Cricetulus griseus: one gene and its partners. The protein of the gene in region 3 interacts with the protein of the main gene of each other region in a pairwise test. Links are inferred from orthologs where the notes say so. Each region holds a gene or a part of one and is shown on either strand. Other genes may lie near its edges.

The links. The genes of interacting proteins can lie anywhere in the genome.
Region 1: the proteins of Fate1 (region 3) and Ndufb11 interact in binary tests that used the Homo sapiens proteins (3 or more experiments, as listed by UniProt). The two-hybrid records come from large-scale screens. The link is inferred for Cricetulus griseus from reciprocal best matches to the Homo sapiens genes FATE1 and NDUFB11.
Region 2: the proteins of Fate1 (region 3) and Lnpep interact in binary tests that used the Homo sapiens proteins (3 or more experiments, as listed by UniProt). The two-hybrid records come from large-scale screens. The link is inferred for Cricetulus griseus from reciprocal best matches to the Homo sapiens genes FATE1 and LNPEP.

The regions. Positions count from the first base shown.
Region 1 is NC_048604.1:125,416,181-125,420,106, reverse strand, and holds Ndufb11 (NADH dehydrogenase [ubiquinone] 1 beta subcomplex subunit 11, mitochondrial), read left to right. Parts: upstream 1-1,286; 5' UTR 1,287-1,326; coding exon 1,327-1,527; intron 1,528-2,793; coding exon 2,794-2,924; intron 2,925-3,101; coding exon 3,102-3,225; 3' UTR 3,226-3,273; downstream 3,274-3,926. Other genes in the region: Rbm10 (RNA-binding protein 10), read right to left, coding at 489-558. UniProt on the Homo sapiens protein: Accessory subunit of the mitochondrial membrane respiratory chain NADH dehydrogenase (Complex I), that is believed not to be involved in catalysis. Complex I functions in the transfer of electrons from NADH to the respiratory chain.
Region 2 is NC_048595.1:295,779,614-295,783,871, forward strand, and holds the start of Lnpep (leucyl-cystinyl aminopeptidase), read right to left. Parts: upstream 2,954-4,258; 5' UTR 2,811-2,953; coding exon 2,792-2,810; intron 1-2,791. UniProt on the Homo sapiens protein: Release of an N-terminal amino acid, cleaves before cysteine, leucine as well as other amino acids. Degrades peptide hormones such as oxytocin, vasopressin and angiotensin III, and plays a role in maintaining homeostasis during pregnancy.
Region 3 is NC_048604.1:3,690,888-3,695,025, reverse strand, and holds the start of Fate1 (fetal and adult testis-expressed transcript protein), read left to right. Parts: upstream 1-1,337; coding exon 1,338-1,443; intron 1,444-1,938; coding exon 1,939-2,066; intron 2,067-2,989; coding exon 2,990-3,096; intron 3,097-3,393; coding exon 3,394-3,469; intron 3,470-3,841; coding exon 3,842-3,973; 3' UTR 3,974-4,138. UniProt on the Homo sapiens protein: Involved in the regulation of endoplasmic reticulum (ER)-mitochondria coupling. Negatively regulates the ER-mitochondria distance and Ca(2+) transfer from ER to mitochondria possibly implicating it in the regulation of apoptosis.

The DNA of each region.
Region 1 (3,926 bases), about 120 Mb from region 3:
ACTAAATAGGTTGGGGTCGGCCAGTAACACGACAGTTCCTGACCAATAAGGACCGGAGGTCAGATACACCCCCCCCAAGGATAAAAACTATGTTCACTTTCCCTCTCTGCGCTCGCCACCCCCATCCCTGCTACATAAATGAATAGAGATCGCAGCCAGATAATTTCCCCGTTGATAACACAGGGCACCCAGCACGCCCCTGAAATAAGAATTTCCACGCAAAGTCGCAGTCACACACGTTCCAAATGATAAAAGTTCAGTGGAGCAAACACAGTAAGTCACAGTACCCCACTCCCATCTGTCCCTCCCTTCCCCCACCCTCGTGCACCCATCCCGTGTCCCAATCGCGCACGCGCTTTTGCTTTCATAAGAAAAAGCCGGGGGGGGGGACACCCCCTCTCAGGTGCATCCCTTGGCTCGGTGTGTGCAGTCCATCCGCGCGCCTCTTCTATGCACACCGCACCCCCGCGCACGCCCCGCTCCATTACCTTGGACCCCACCACCCGCAACGGAGCTCACCTTCTCGGCCCGGACTGTCAAGGGAGGGCTCCCAGGCATCACCTCCGCCAGCCGCCACTTCCTCCAGAACTGCTAGTTCAACTGGAGCCGACGAGTGCAACAACCAAGTCCAAGGCTGGGGGCAAAAGAGAGGAAAGGGGGAGGGGAAACGCGCCGGACGCGCTACCCTCCCAAAGAAACTCAGTGCCGCCTCCTCCCAGCCGGCAGCAGTCACCAACACAAAATGGCGACGAGGAGCAAGCAGCCGGCGCTCCGACCACCATCCTCCTACTAAGGGAGCGCGCTCTGGCCGGCCTTGACGATTGGCTGCCATCCGCCATGGGCTGGCCCTGGCCTTCTCTGATTGGCAATCTTTTGCCACCGCCCCATTCCCCGTGAGAACGCCCCGGGAGTCCAGAGAAAGAGTAGCTATTGGCTACCTCTGTGAGACCCGCTTTTTTACAGCTTGCTTTCCTTTGAAGTTGAAGTTGAAAGACAAGCAGAAGCTCCACCTATTTCCCCACAAGGCCATCTGGATGTCACCGCTTTCTTTTTTTATGAAGAAAATAAACAGATCTCTCAAGACCAAATTTCTCCCAGCCTGACAAAAGGGATAAAGTTAATTTGGTAGTGATGCGGCATGGGAAGTAAAACACAATCCACACCTCGAAAACAAACTTATACCCAGGATCTATTTAACGAGGTGAGGGCGGAGCGAAAAAAATCGCGCTGGGATCAACCGCAGCTGCGCACATACGGTTTCCGTGTCTCCCCCCACCCTCCGCCGTGCGCCGCTCCCCCATCTCCGACCCAGCAGCACAAGCTGTCATGGCGGCCCGGCTGTTAAGTTTGTGTGCTCGCCGCCTTTCGGTAACAGCTGCGGTTCGAGGGCTCCCAGCTGCTGGCGTTCGCTGGGAATCCTCCAGGGCTGTAATCTCCCCGTCTACTGTGGAGAGAAAGCGGCAACGACAGCCGACCATGCACTGGCAGGAGGACCCAGAATCCGAGGACGAAAACGTCTACGCGAAGGTGAGAGGGAGGGGGAAAACGGGATGCCGCAGGGGCCAATCTGAGACTAGCAGACCCATGTCCAAGAGGACATTCTCTGACTGGAGGCTTGTGCCGTGTACAAGATCTTCAAAGATTCTCAATATTGGCTTGTTTTCCACGTTTTTCGTTTTGATATCTTTGGTCTAGGACTCGAAGCGGGATTTGCTTTATTTGTAGACAGAAATCACACTTGAAGTGGACAGCACCCAAAGCGCGCTAGAAATAGTATAATCAAGATAATGCTAAATTCTGAGATGGAACGTGCTCCGTGCTAGTCTGTGCTACACATTTTGTATCTATTAACTCATCTAAGTTCTAAAACAGGATGATTTTGAGTTAAACTCTACTACTGTTACCATTATGTGGATGAGGATACTGGAACAAATAGTTGCTTGCCCAAGATCACATAACTTGAGTAGGTAGAGGAGCTGATACTTGAATTTAGGACTAACTGAATTTCTGTGCTTTATGAATAACAGAGACTCTGTAGTCAGACACCCTGGGTTGGAAATTATTCACTTGTGTGACCTTGGGCAAGTAGTTTATAGTCTTTTGGTGCCTCAGTTTCTTTGTAAAGTGAGAAAAGTAATAGGACAGCTAAAAAGTAGACCTGCTTCATATGATTAAATGAGTCAGAATGGTCAGTTCCTGCCACTTCAGAACTATTCAATTAGAAGATGTTTATTATTGCCATTTCCACCTTACTGGGATATGTGAGGTTTGTATACTTGAAAAAGCCTAGCATATAAGTACTTCATCAACACTAACCTCTGGTTGAGGGGCTTAAATATATATATATATATATATATATATATATATATATATATATAGTGCTATAGGATAAGTGGACCCATAGGAAATTACCAATATTTAGCCATTTTTAATGCTTTATGAATAACACTTCCCAAGGGTGCATCTTAACAGACAGGGTGATTAGGTAATGATTCCCAAAGAAGTAGGTGAGGCCAATTTGGAAATAAAGTTAAAACCTTGGATAACGGCTCTGATTAGATTTGGGGAAGAGCTTTCTAAGCAGTGGGGGCAGCAAATATCAAAGCCCTTTAGTGAGAAAGAACTTCACATACCCTAAGAATAGGAAAAGGATTTTAGTGAGGAATAAGAAATTGGTTTGAGGGCAGATTAGAGACCAGTATGCAGATATATGCTGGCTCTGCATAAAGATATACGCAGGGCCAGCATCTATGAAGCAGCAGGAAGCCCTTATTGACTTCTCCTTCTCCTCAGAACCCAGACTTCCATGGTTATGACCAGGACCCTGTGGTGGACGTCTGGAATATGCGAGTTGTCTTCTTCTTTGGTTTTTCCATCGTCCTGGTCTTGGGTACCACCTTTATGGCTTATCTGCCTGACTACAGGTATGTGGGTTTTCTAAGAGAGTAGAGTGAGTGGGCAGAGGCAGAAGCAAGGGTAAAGGTTGAAAAGTCTCTGACCAGAATCCTTGCTCTGAACTGGTGGAGAATGGGGTCCTGAGGTGGGGAACTGGTGTCTGGTGAGGCTCTCTTACATCCGACCACACCTGTTGCTGCTTCTAGGATGCAAGAGTGGGCCCGCCGGGAAGCTGAGAGACTTGTGAAATATCGAGAAGCCAATGGCCTCCCCATCATGGAATCCAACTGTTTTGATCCCAGCAAGATCCAGTTACCAGAAGATGAGTGATGAATTACTGAGAAGGGCTTAAGAAGCACTACTTTGTCCACCCCCTGCCTTTTATTCTTCTGGTTCCTCCAAGCACCTTATTAAAGGGATTGAAAGAAGGACTGGTTACTGTTGCTTTTGTTGTGGAAGAGGATATATGAGAGAGTGTGACAAGCCTTACAAGGGCCATTGCTGGTTTTCTTGGTTGTCTAGAGCTGTGCAACACTAAGGTTTTGGTGACTTAGTACTCTATCCCATGGCCCTGTGGGTTGCACACTAAGGGTATTTGGCTCCTCTTGGATCTCAGGTAGTTGCTGTTAGGTAGTAGCTAGAGCTAGAGGCATCTGAAGCACATCTGGTTTTTACAGCCAAGGTTTCTAAAAAAAGAAAATTAAAAAAAAAAGCCTGGCACTTAAGTCTTCAGTATAGTAACCTGGGCTGCTTATATCAGTGGTTCTCAACCTTCAAAATGCTGCAACCCCTTAATACAGTTCCTCATGTTGTGACCCCCCAACCATAAAATTACTTTCTTTTTTGGGGAATGGGGGTTTTAAGGCATGGTTTCTCTGTGGCTTTGGAGGCTGTCCTGGAACTAGCTCTTGTAGACCAGGCTGGTCTCGAACTCACAGAGATCATCTGCCTCTGAGTCCTGAGTGCTGGGATTAAAGGCATGCGCTACCACTGCCTGGCATAAAATTATTTTCGTTGCTACTTCATAACTA
Region 2 (4,258 bases), on a different chromosome or scaffold from region 3:
GGAGGCGATATGTAATTCACATAAAAATGGCAACCTCTATTAGGCTTTCTGTTACGGCACCTCAATATACCAGTGATTTTCCAACCACTAGATTTGCCTGTAATTACAACACAAACTAGCATCTGCTAGCAAAACATACACTAAATAATAACAATTTTTCCCCATGTTTGGAAGACTGTATTTGTTTACCTGCTAATCCTCTTTAAGTGAATATTTCTAGTAGCTTCAAAATTTAGTCAGAGATTTCCAGACCTGACCCTGGACCTCCTCAACCAGATTTTGCAATTGAGTCCCAACTTTTAGCATGTCTTAACAAAAATTTAAGCTATTATGAAATATTCCAAATAAATGGGGATAAAGGCACATGGACATCAAATAATTGGCTTTCTTAATCTTTACTATCTCTCTCAGAACACCTAGTCAGTCTCCATCAACTTTCTGTGGTGCTGGTAAAGAAGCAAGTCACTTCTCCTAAAGGTTTCACCTAGACCTGCTGAACAGGATGAGGCAGCTACTGTCAAACCAATCTTAAGCACTAGTCAACACATTCCTCTACCCATAAAAAAGTCACCAGAGAACCAAAGCCAGGCCAGTCTTCAGTGTGGTAACAGTCCCTCTCAAGGTCAAGGCCAAAAATATTTCCTGAGTCAGATAGGCTGGCACTGAAGTCCATCCTTACAGGCCTTTTCTAGAAACATGAATTTTAAATGGGTTCTAAGAGTTATTAATCGGACAGGCGAACATAAGATATTTAACACAAGAACTCATTACATTACTTTAGGCAGCTGGCTGGGCTCAAGAAAATGAGCCACACCAGCAGCACATTTCACAGAAAATAGGAACACTACAGAAATCAATGAGTACTGAAGGCTGGGATGACAAGACTAAATTCATTTACTTTATAAACTTGTAGATTGATGAATGAACTACTGATAGTATTTTAAGAAAGTCCTGGGTCTATGTCGGGACATACAAGACCATGTAAATGAGAAAGATTTGCTAAAAGAGGATCAATGTTTAACAAAAGCCAATATTAAGCTTGATAAATCACTCAATCACATTCAAAAGATGATAAAATAGTCTGTAAGAGACTAACTATAGAATTGCATGGACATGTTACGCACTCAAAACAACTAAATATAAAAATGTAGTTTCCATTATATAATATTATATTTGAAGACACTAGAAAATTCTACAGCAAAAACTTTCTAAAGTTTTGAAGTACCTAGTCCACCTTAAAATCTTCAAAGTCACTTAAAGTTAGCAGTATCCCAGGTGTTGACTTTCTATGTTGTAGTGCCTATTTTCCTTGTGAAAGGAGGACAAGACCACATTAACTCAAATGGCATATTGCCAACTAGCCTCCAGCATCAACTGTGAAAATCTGGTAGACAGAAAAGAATTAGAAATCCAACTTCCTATATGAAAGTTGAATTCTGCCTCTTTATTTTGAAGAAAGAAATTTGCCTTCGAATGTTTTTAAGCATATTTTACATCCAAGTACTAGATGGTCTCTATGGTGCCGTTCAGTTCAAATCTTGCTTAATTATCTGGGAATTTTTACCATACTATTCTTGGAGCCTTGGTATTACAAATAGAACACAAATGAGGGGGGAAAAAGTTCAGAGTTAAAGCTGTCATCATTACGCCTAATTAAACAGTGCGGACAGAAAGATGGCAGTAGAATAAAGCATTCTGAAATAGGGAAAAGGAGAGCATAATGAGTAAGTCACAGCCCCAGGAATAAAGTTAAAGTACACAACAAAGTCGGGCAGGAGAGTGGATAGTGGGCAACGTCTCCCCCCACCCCACCCCCTGCCCTGCGCCCCGTCCCTGAAGTGGCAAGCAAGCCACCCAAATAGTAATACACCTGTCTCCTATTAATTTGATTTTCTACCTACCAGAAGTAACCAACCACACTGGAAATGCAGGCCAACTACAAAGTGGACCCTACCATTTCAGCACGTCCTATCGTTTATTAGCAGCTTTCCTACTTTATACATCCCAATGGGGAACCCAGATACTTAGCACCATAAAATGGTGAAACATCTCACCCCTACTGGGCACTTCTAGCCCAGACAAAAGCCGTGGAGTGAAAGGCCATGGCTGTTTTCTGGACGCAAGTTGTTTTGACTTTCACCCCGTCACCTAAATGATACAAGCATAGATACTCAATGGGTCCCTGACTAGGAGGCCAATCAATATTCCCAGCAGGCAAAAAGAAACTTGGTCGTCCGGCGGAGTGCTTCGGCAGCACCGGCGGAGAGAAAGGTGGCAATGGGGGGAAGGGGACACAGTACCATACGGGGGGGGGAGAGCACAGTACCAGCCAGCCTCGGGTCAGTTTCCTTCCCTGCGGTGCACTAAATCACGCTGCCAGCCCAGCGGCCCCACCCCGCCCTATTACGGAAAGGCATGCGAGCCGCTCGCTGAAGGGCGAGCGAGGGAGCGAGCGGACAGCTCCAGGCTCCCAGCACGGGCTTTCTCCCGGGAGCCGCTCATCCGAGCCTTGGCCGCCTCCCCGGGAACGAACGCGACTGCCAACTTTGCGGCTGTCCCCTCCTCCGCGCAAGCATCCCAAACTTTGCCACGGCCTCACCTGAAGGCTCGGTGGGGGCCCCCGGAAGAGGTCTGACCTTCACGCTCGCCCTACTACCCCCGGGCCCCTATGCCGCCCCCGGCCCCCCTGGGAAACCCTAGGCGGGGAAGCCGGGCGGCCGGACCCCCGTGCCACAACCGACCCTCTGGACCCTGAAAGCCCGGGAATCCGCGTCTCCGGCTAGGCACTCACCATTGGTAAAGGGCTCCATCTCCACTCCGCCGCGCTCGGGTCCTCACGAGCCCAGCGCCCCAAGCTTCCTACTACGAGAGCTGAAGCGGCCCTGCCGACTGAGCATGCCCAGCGAGGCCTCCTAGAGCTGTCGGGGAGGTGCGGCGAGAGGCGGCGCCGCTCCCCCGCGCGGCAACAACACCTTCGTTCCGGGTTTTCGCAGCTGCAAAAAAAAAAAAAAAAACCCACCGAGGCGTGGACGCGGAGCGCAGCTCAACCCCTGGCCCACTCCGCCGAGAGGCGGAGCAGGGCGAGGCAGGGCTGGGGCGGGGCCCCCTCCGCAAGCCCCGCCCCCAGCGGCATACTTCGAGGCCGCCGAGCTTTCCGTGCCGCAGAGCTGCACCCCTGCTCCCCAGAACTGATGGCACCTACTGCGTTCGGCTTCGTCCGGGGTGCGGCAACCCCAGTGCTGAGCCCGGACACGCGGCCGGTGATGGCCGAGTGGATAGCGGAGGGGTTGTCGCTAAATTCGCGGTTTGAAAGATGGGCAGGGCCGGGTCGGGGAGCATCGGTCTCTGCCGCAGGCTACACCCCTCACCTACCCCCCCACCCCCGACGGCTCTCTTCCTAACCGCCAGGGCGAGCCCCGCGGCGCTTGTCGGCAGGACTTCCTTCCAGCAGAGGAGCACAGCCTTGCACCAGCCTCTACCAAGCGCCCGACGCAAGGGAGGGAAGGAGGGAGAGGGGCTCCGCCTAGTTCAGTTTTTTTTTTTTTTTTTTTTTTTTTTTTTTTTTTTTTTTTTTTTTTTTTTTTTGCTCAGGGCCGGGCTTGGAGATGAGAGCAGAACATAAAACCCGGCGTGGGATACGGGAAAACAGTCCATGCGCGAAGAGGTGTGGGCAGAGGCCCGCCATCCCAGTCCGGTCCTAACTCGACACCTGCGATTCCCTTGCTCGCAGCCATTGGTCGGGGCTTGCGGCCTGGCCCCGCAGAGCTCGACCAGAGGCAGCTAAATTTCCCCTTCCCCCCTCCCAGGCCTCGAGCCATCGCCTCCGGCTCCGAGTCCCCATTGTTTCCGGTGCCAAATCAGGGCAGCCCCCACCAGCCTAGGAGACCCTTGGAGACCGTGTAGGGGAGAGCCCCAGGGAAGGTTCTCAAGGTGTTTGTTTGCTGGTCCCTCACCCTGCGGTGAGGCCTCAGTCCCTCCCAGCAGCAGTCACAGCTCTCCCCCGCCCGCGCACAGCCGAGGTCTGTGCGGCGACTTGGCTCGGCCTTGGGCCTCATGGTGCTAGCCAACTGTCACACACTCCTCCCAGGCTGTCATCCCTGACGTCTGGTGCAAACAAACCTGGGCTTGCACAAACATCGTGGGCAAAAGAGGGGAGGCTGCGATGTTGTTCGACCGATAAGGAAATACGAATTGCGTTCAAAGAAGTAAAACAGAAGTGCAACCCCACTCCTGATTTACAACGTCCTGTGAATACCCC
Region 3 (4,138 bases):
TCAAATGTATTTTAGCAGCAGTAAGTCTTTCCTTGGCAATCAAACAATTTAAAGAGAACAATATGGCATATAGTATCCAGATTCTCTGTGTATTTTCCGTCTTTATGTGGCTTTTTTATTACTTTATTTTTACTATCTTTCGTTTATTTTTTCTGAGACAGGGTTTCTCTGTGGAAATCTGCCTGCCTCTGCTTCCTTCAGCAAATCCTACCGGCGTGAGCCACCACACCCAGCTACTCTATTTCCTCCTGTTATTTTTTCTCTCACAAGCCTACATATATTTTTAAATGCAGTGTAAACCTTTAGAGGTTTTTCTTTATCTGGATCTGTCTGTATCATCTTGGGAGTGCTGAGTCCAAGGCCCAAGAGCGCCGGGACGGCGTGAGCCTATGGAAGCTGTTCCAATGCCTCTCAGCACCCTGACAGGGCAGGCTGTGGTGGCAGGTTTCCCTCATTCTCTGGGAACCTTGGGGCATGGGGTCATCCCACTCACTGACCCATTCCTTAAGGTTTGCACTTGATTCTTTCAGCACATTGGTTGAGTACAAGCACCTGACTGGGAGGAAGCCATTTTATTTAAAGTCCATTAGGGATAATAATCACAGCTGCAGTATACCTTTGCAGAAATACTGAGAGTTGAGTGTCTGATAAACTCACTGGGGATCAGAACCTGACTAAATTGACACATACATCTGGTCTAATCTGTAGAAAAACTGAGGCAGAGCTGAAACATACAGCAGGGTACACAAGCCCAGCATGTCCCTCTTGCCCCTCCCTGCTTCCTTCCCAGGATTCATATCAGACAAGGCCATCTACTTTGCTTGAAGACTCTGCATTGGAGGAGGCAGGATGTTCTGTACAGAGAAGCTCCTCTGATAGAGTGCTGTACCCTAGATTACTGGCCAGTCATGGGCTTGTAGAAACCATGATAAGCATGGGACCTGTCACTGCTTTGGGCACTTATGGATGCTTGGGCCGTATGCCAGCCCTTGTCTCTTTCTAGACCATGATGGAGGATGGGATCCTCCTACCCGTGAGTAGCAAAATCAAGGGGAGATGAATCAGGGCAGCTCACAAAAACAGTACCACTTAGAGCACTATCTCATCTCCAAGTTGCTTACACAGCAGAAGAGAAGGCGGCCACGAGACCCACCAACAAGATACAGTGGGAACTCAAGGTGCCAATCCAAGGCCTGAGCACAGAGAGGGAGAACTGGCTCCACCCTCTTGTGCCAGTATATCTCCCTCACATTTCTACCCCTGGAAGAGGCGAGCTTCCAAGTGTCTTCTCTGTGCCATCCACCCTGAACAACCTTACAAATGAATACCTGGTGGTGATGGCAGAAAGCCCTTCCAATGTCAAAGAAGGGTATAAAATGTCCATTTCTGAAGATCTAGGGACTGGAAACTTTGACCAAAGCCAAGAACAACCAGTGATGTCAGGTGAGAATCCCCTAAAAAGCCTGTTGGGTATAGTTAATCATGTGCGTTTACTTGTGCTGCTTCTACAACATCCCAGTCATTGTGCATGCTGTTTACTTAGTCTGGAAGGTTATTCGTTTGTTTTAGGTATTTCAGTGTTGATTTATGCTTTTCTTTTGCCATATTAGCTTGTTTTGGTTTTTAATCATTCATGAACCATTTACATATCTGAATTTACATGGATGGAAGATTTTATTATTGGTATTTCCTATTCTCTCATACATAGAGATGGTTTGTGTTTGGGATTTCATCTCTTGATCATTGCTCATGCTACAGAATCCTAGGCCCAGGGCCAGATTTTCAGTAAATACATACTGACCTGTTGAACAGATGGACAAATAGGCTGAGCATCAGAAGTGAATGGGTATTGAGTGATTTCTGCTGTTTTCAGTACCCAGAAAGTTCTGGTAAAACCTTTAAAGCAGTATTCATAGCAGTCTCTGTTCTTCTTTCTAGAAATGATGGAACGTGGGTCCCGGTCACTGGGAGGAATCCAAAGACGTCCAAGGGCAGAGCAAAAACCTGCTGGATCTGGTTCAGGCCAGTCATTTTGGAATGTGACTGGACCTCGTCCCAAGAAAGGGGTATTGACAAATGGTGGCTAGTTTAGGGTGGGAAGTTCTTACTTTGGGGCTCCTGTATTCCCATGGTAGATATAGCTAGAAGTTGATCATTAGGAGGAGGAAGCTTCCATATACCAATAAAGCAAATGAATGAAGGGTAGATCATTGGAAGGTTAGGGTTGTACTGTATAATGCTGGGACTTCAATGCTAGAAGTCTGCATGCCTAGCAAACATGTTGACTGGAAAATGCATCTATAGTTGACCCTCTACATTCCTAGGTCTTGCATCCATTGGCTCAATCGATCACAGATGGACACTGTCTGTGGGTGGAGGTGGAGTGATTACATCTCTAGAGAATACATGCAAGATGTTTTTCTTGCAATGATTATCTACACAATATAGTATAAGAATTACTTAGATGGCATTTACATTTTATTAGACATTATAAATAATATAGTAATTATTTCAATTATATAAAAAGATATGATTATGCTATATTCTAATATTATGACCTTTTACACAAGCAACTTGGGAATCTGCAGAGCTGCATAACCATAGTGAGGCGTTTATTCTAGAAACAGTCTCCATGGATACCAAGGGATGACTATACAATTCTTTATAAACTTCCAAGGTGTGAAATGATGTTTTCTTTTAAATTACTTAAAATCATCTTGAAGGTTTACATTCATCTTCAGTAGGTAGCTTGGGTTTTCAAGGGATGCCTGCATGTAAAAGTTCTACCAAAAGACAGAGAAGCCTGTCACTGCATTTTCCTTGGCACAGCACACAAGGCTAGAAGCTACCAATAGGCATGGTGTGTGTGTGGGGGGGGGCACAGGAAGATGAAATGACATCATGGGGCTCCTATGGGGTGTACTGTTGATTCATGCACAATGCGGTGCTAAAAGGGTGACTTGGAATGGTGTATCCTTTCTTTCTGTAGGGTCATCAGGTGCAGATGCCCCGGATGCCAAGAGATCACAGTCAGGTGGATGGCTATCTCCAGGAGTTTCCTGGCAACTTCCAAACAGGGAGGGTCCCTTATGAGCGGTAAGAGTTCAATTGTCTTGTTCCTAGCTACTGGGGGAGGAACAAGCAGAGGGTAGGGCCATAGGGACTAGTGAGCATCCGAGTCGAGAAGCAGATGTATATACTTGAAGTATTGGGATACTATTGCCTCCTGGCCATTTGGGATCTACGTATGCTTTGGCAAAGCCTCCGGCTTCTTTACTACACAAGGGAAGGACTGGGATCTTTATCCAAAAAGCCTTCAGGCATACCTTATTGCTCTGTGTCTTTTCTATGGCCACCAACACCTCTGAGCCATGTAACCTTTCCTTCCAACAGTCTGGAGGCAGATTTAGTGGCAGAGATTGGCCTGGAAGAACTCAATGGGCTGGAGATGGAAGTCATGAGAAGGCAGGTAAGCATCTGTTGTATAGTTGGAGGAAGCATCATAGTGCTTTGGAGTGGGTGATTTTGGCAGTTGTGAACAAAGCCACCCCCGAGTTTTCATAGCCTTTGTCCAAATCATATCCTGTAGCAAATGAAGTGAGGTTGGGCTCTCCTTTCTGTTCTTCTCAGGCCTCATGCCTTGAGTACCTCATGTTGATGTTCACCCTTGACTTTCCTTTATGCTGGAGATGCTGGACAGGAATTGGGGAAGAGAAAAGGATGTGGAAGGGGGAACAAAGATTCATTTTGGTTTTGGTCATATTTTCCCCCTACCCTTATGTCTTGCCTTTCTCATAAGAGTGATTCCTGCTCACAAGTCCTGTGTTTGGTCCTTCCACAGATGCAAGTGATTTCTGGGCGGCTGCGTGCCCTTGAGGACCAGGATGCCACGTGGCGCCATAAGGAGGCTGTGCTCTTTAGTTTGCTGGTCTCAGTCTGCATAGCCAACCTGTGGCTTTGGATGCGTCAGTAAAGTTTCACAAACACCACAACCCCATTAGAGCCATTCCTTTCTTTCGTCTTCCCTTTGCTTTCAAGGATGCCCTTATCCACGCCATTCTATCTCCCAGCAGCCCCCCAGGTAGCAGTTGGGTCATTTTACCCCTCTGCTTGGGCCTTCTGCCTGGAGATACGCTCA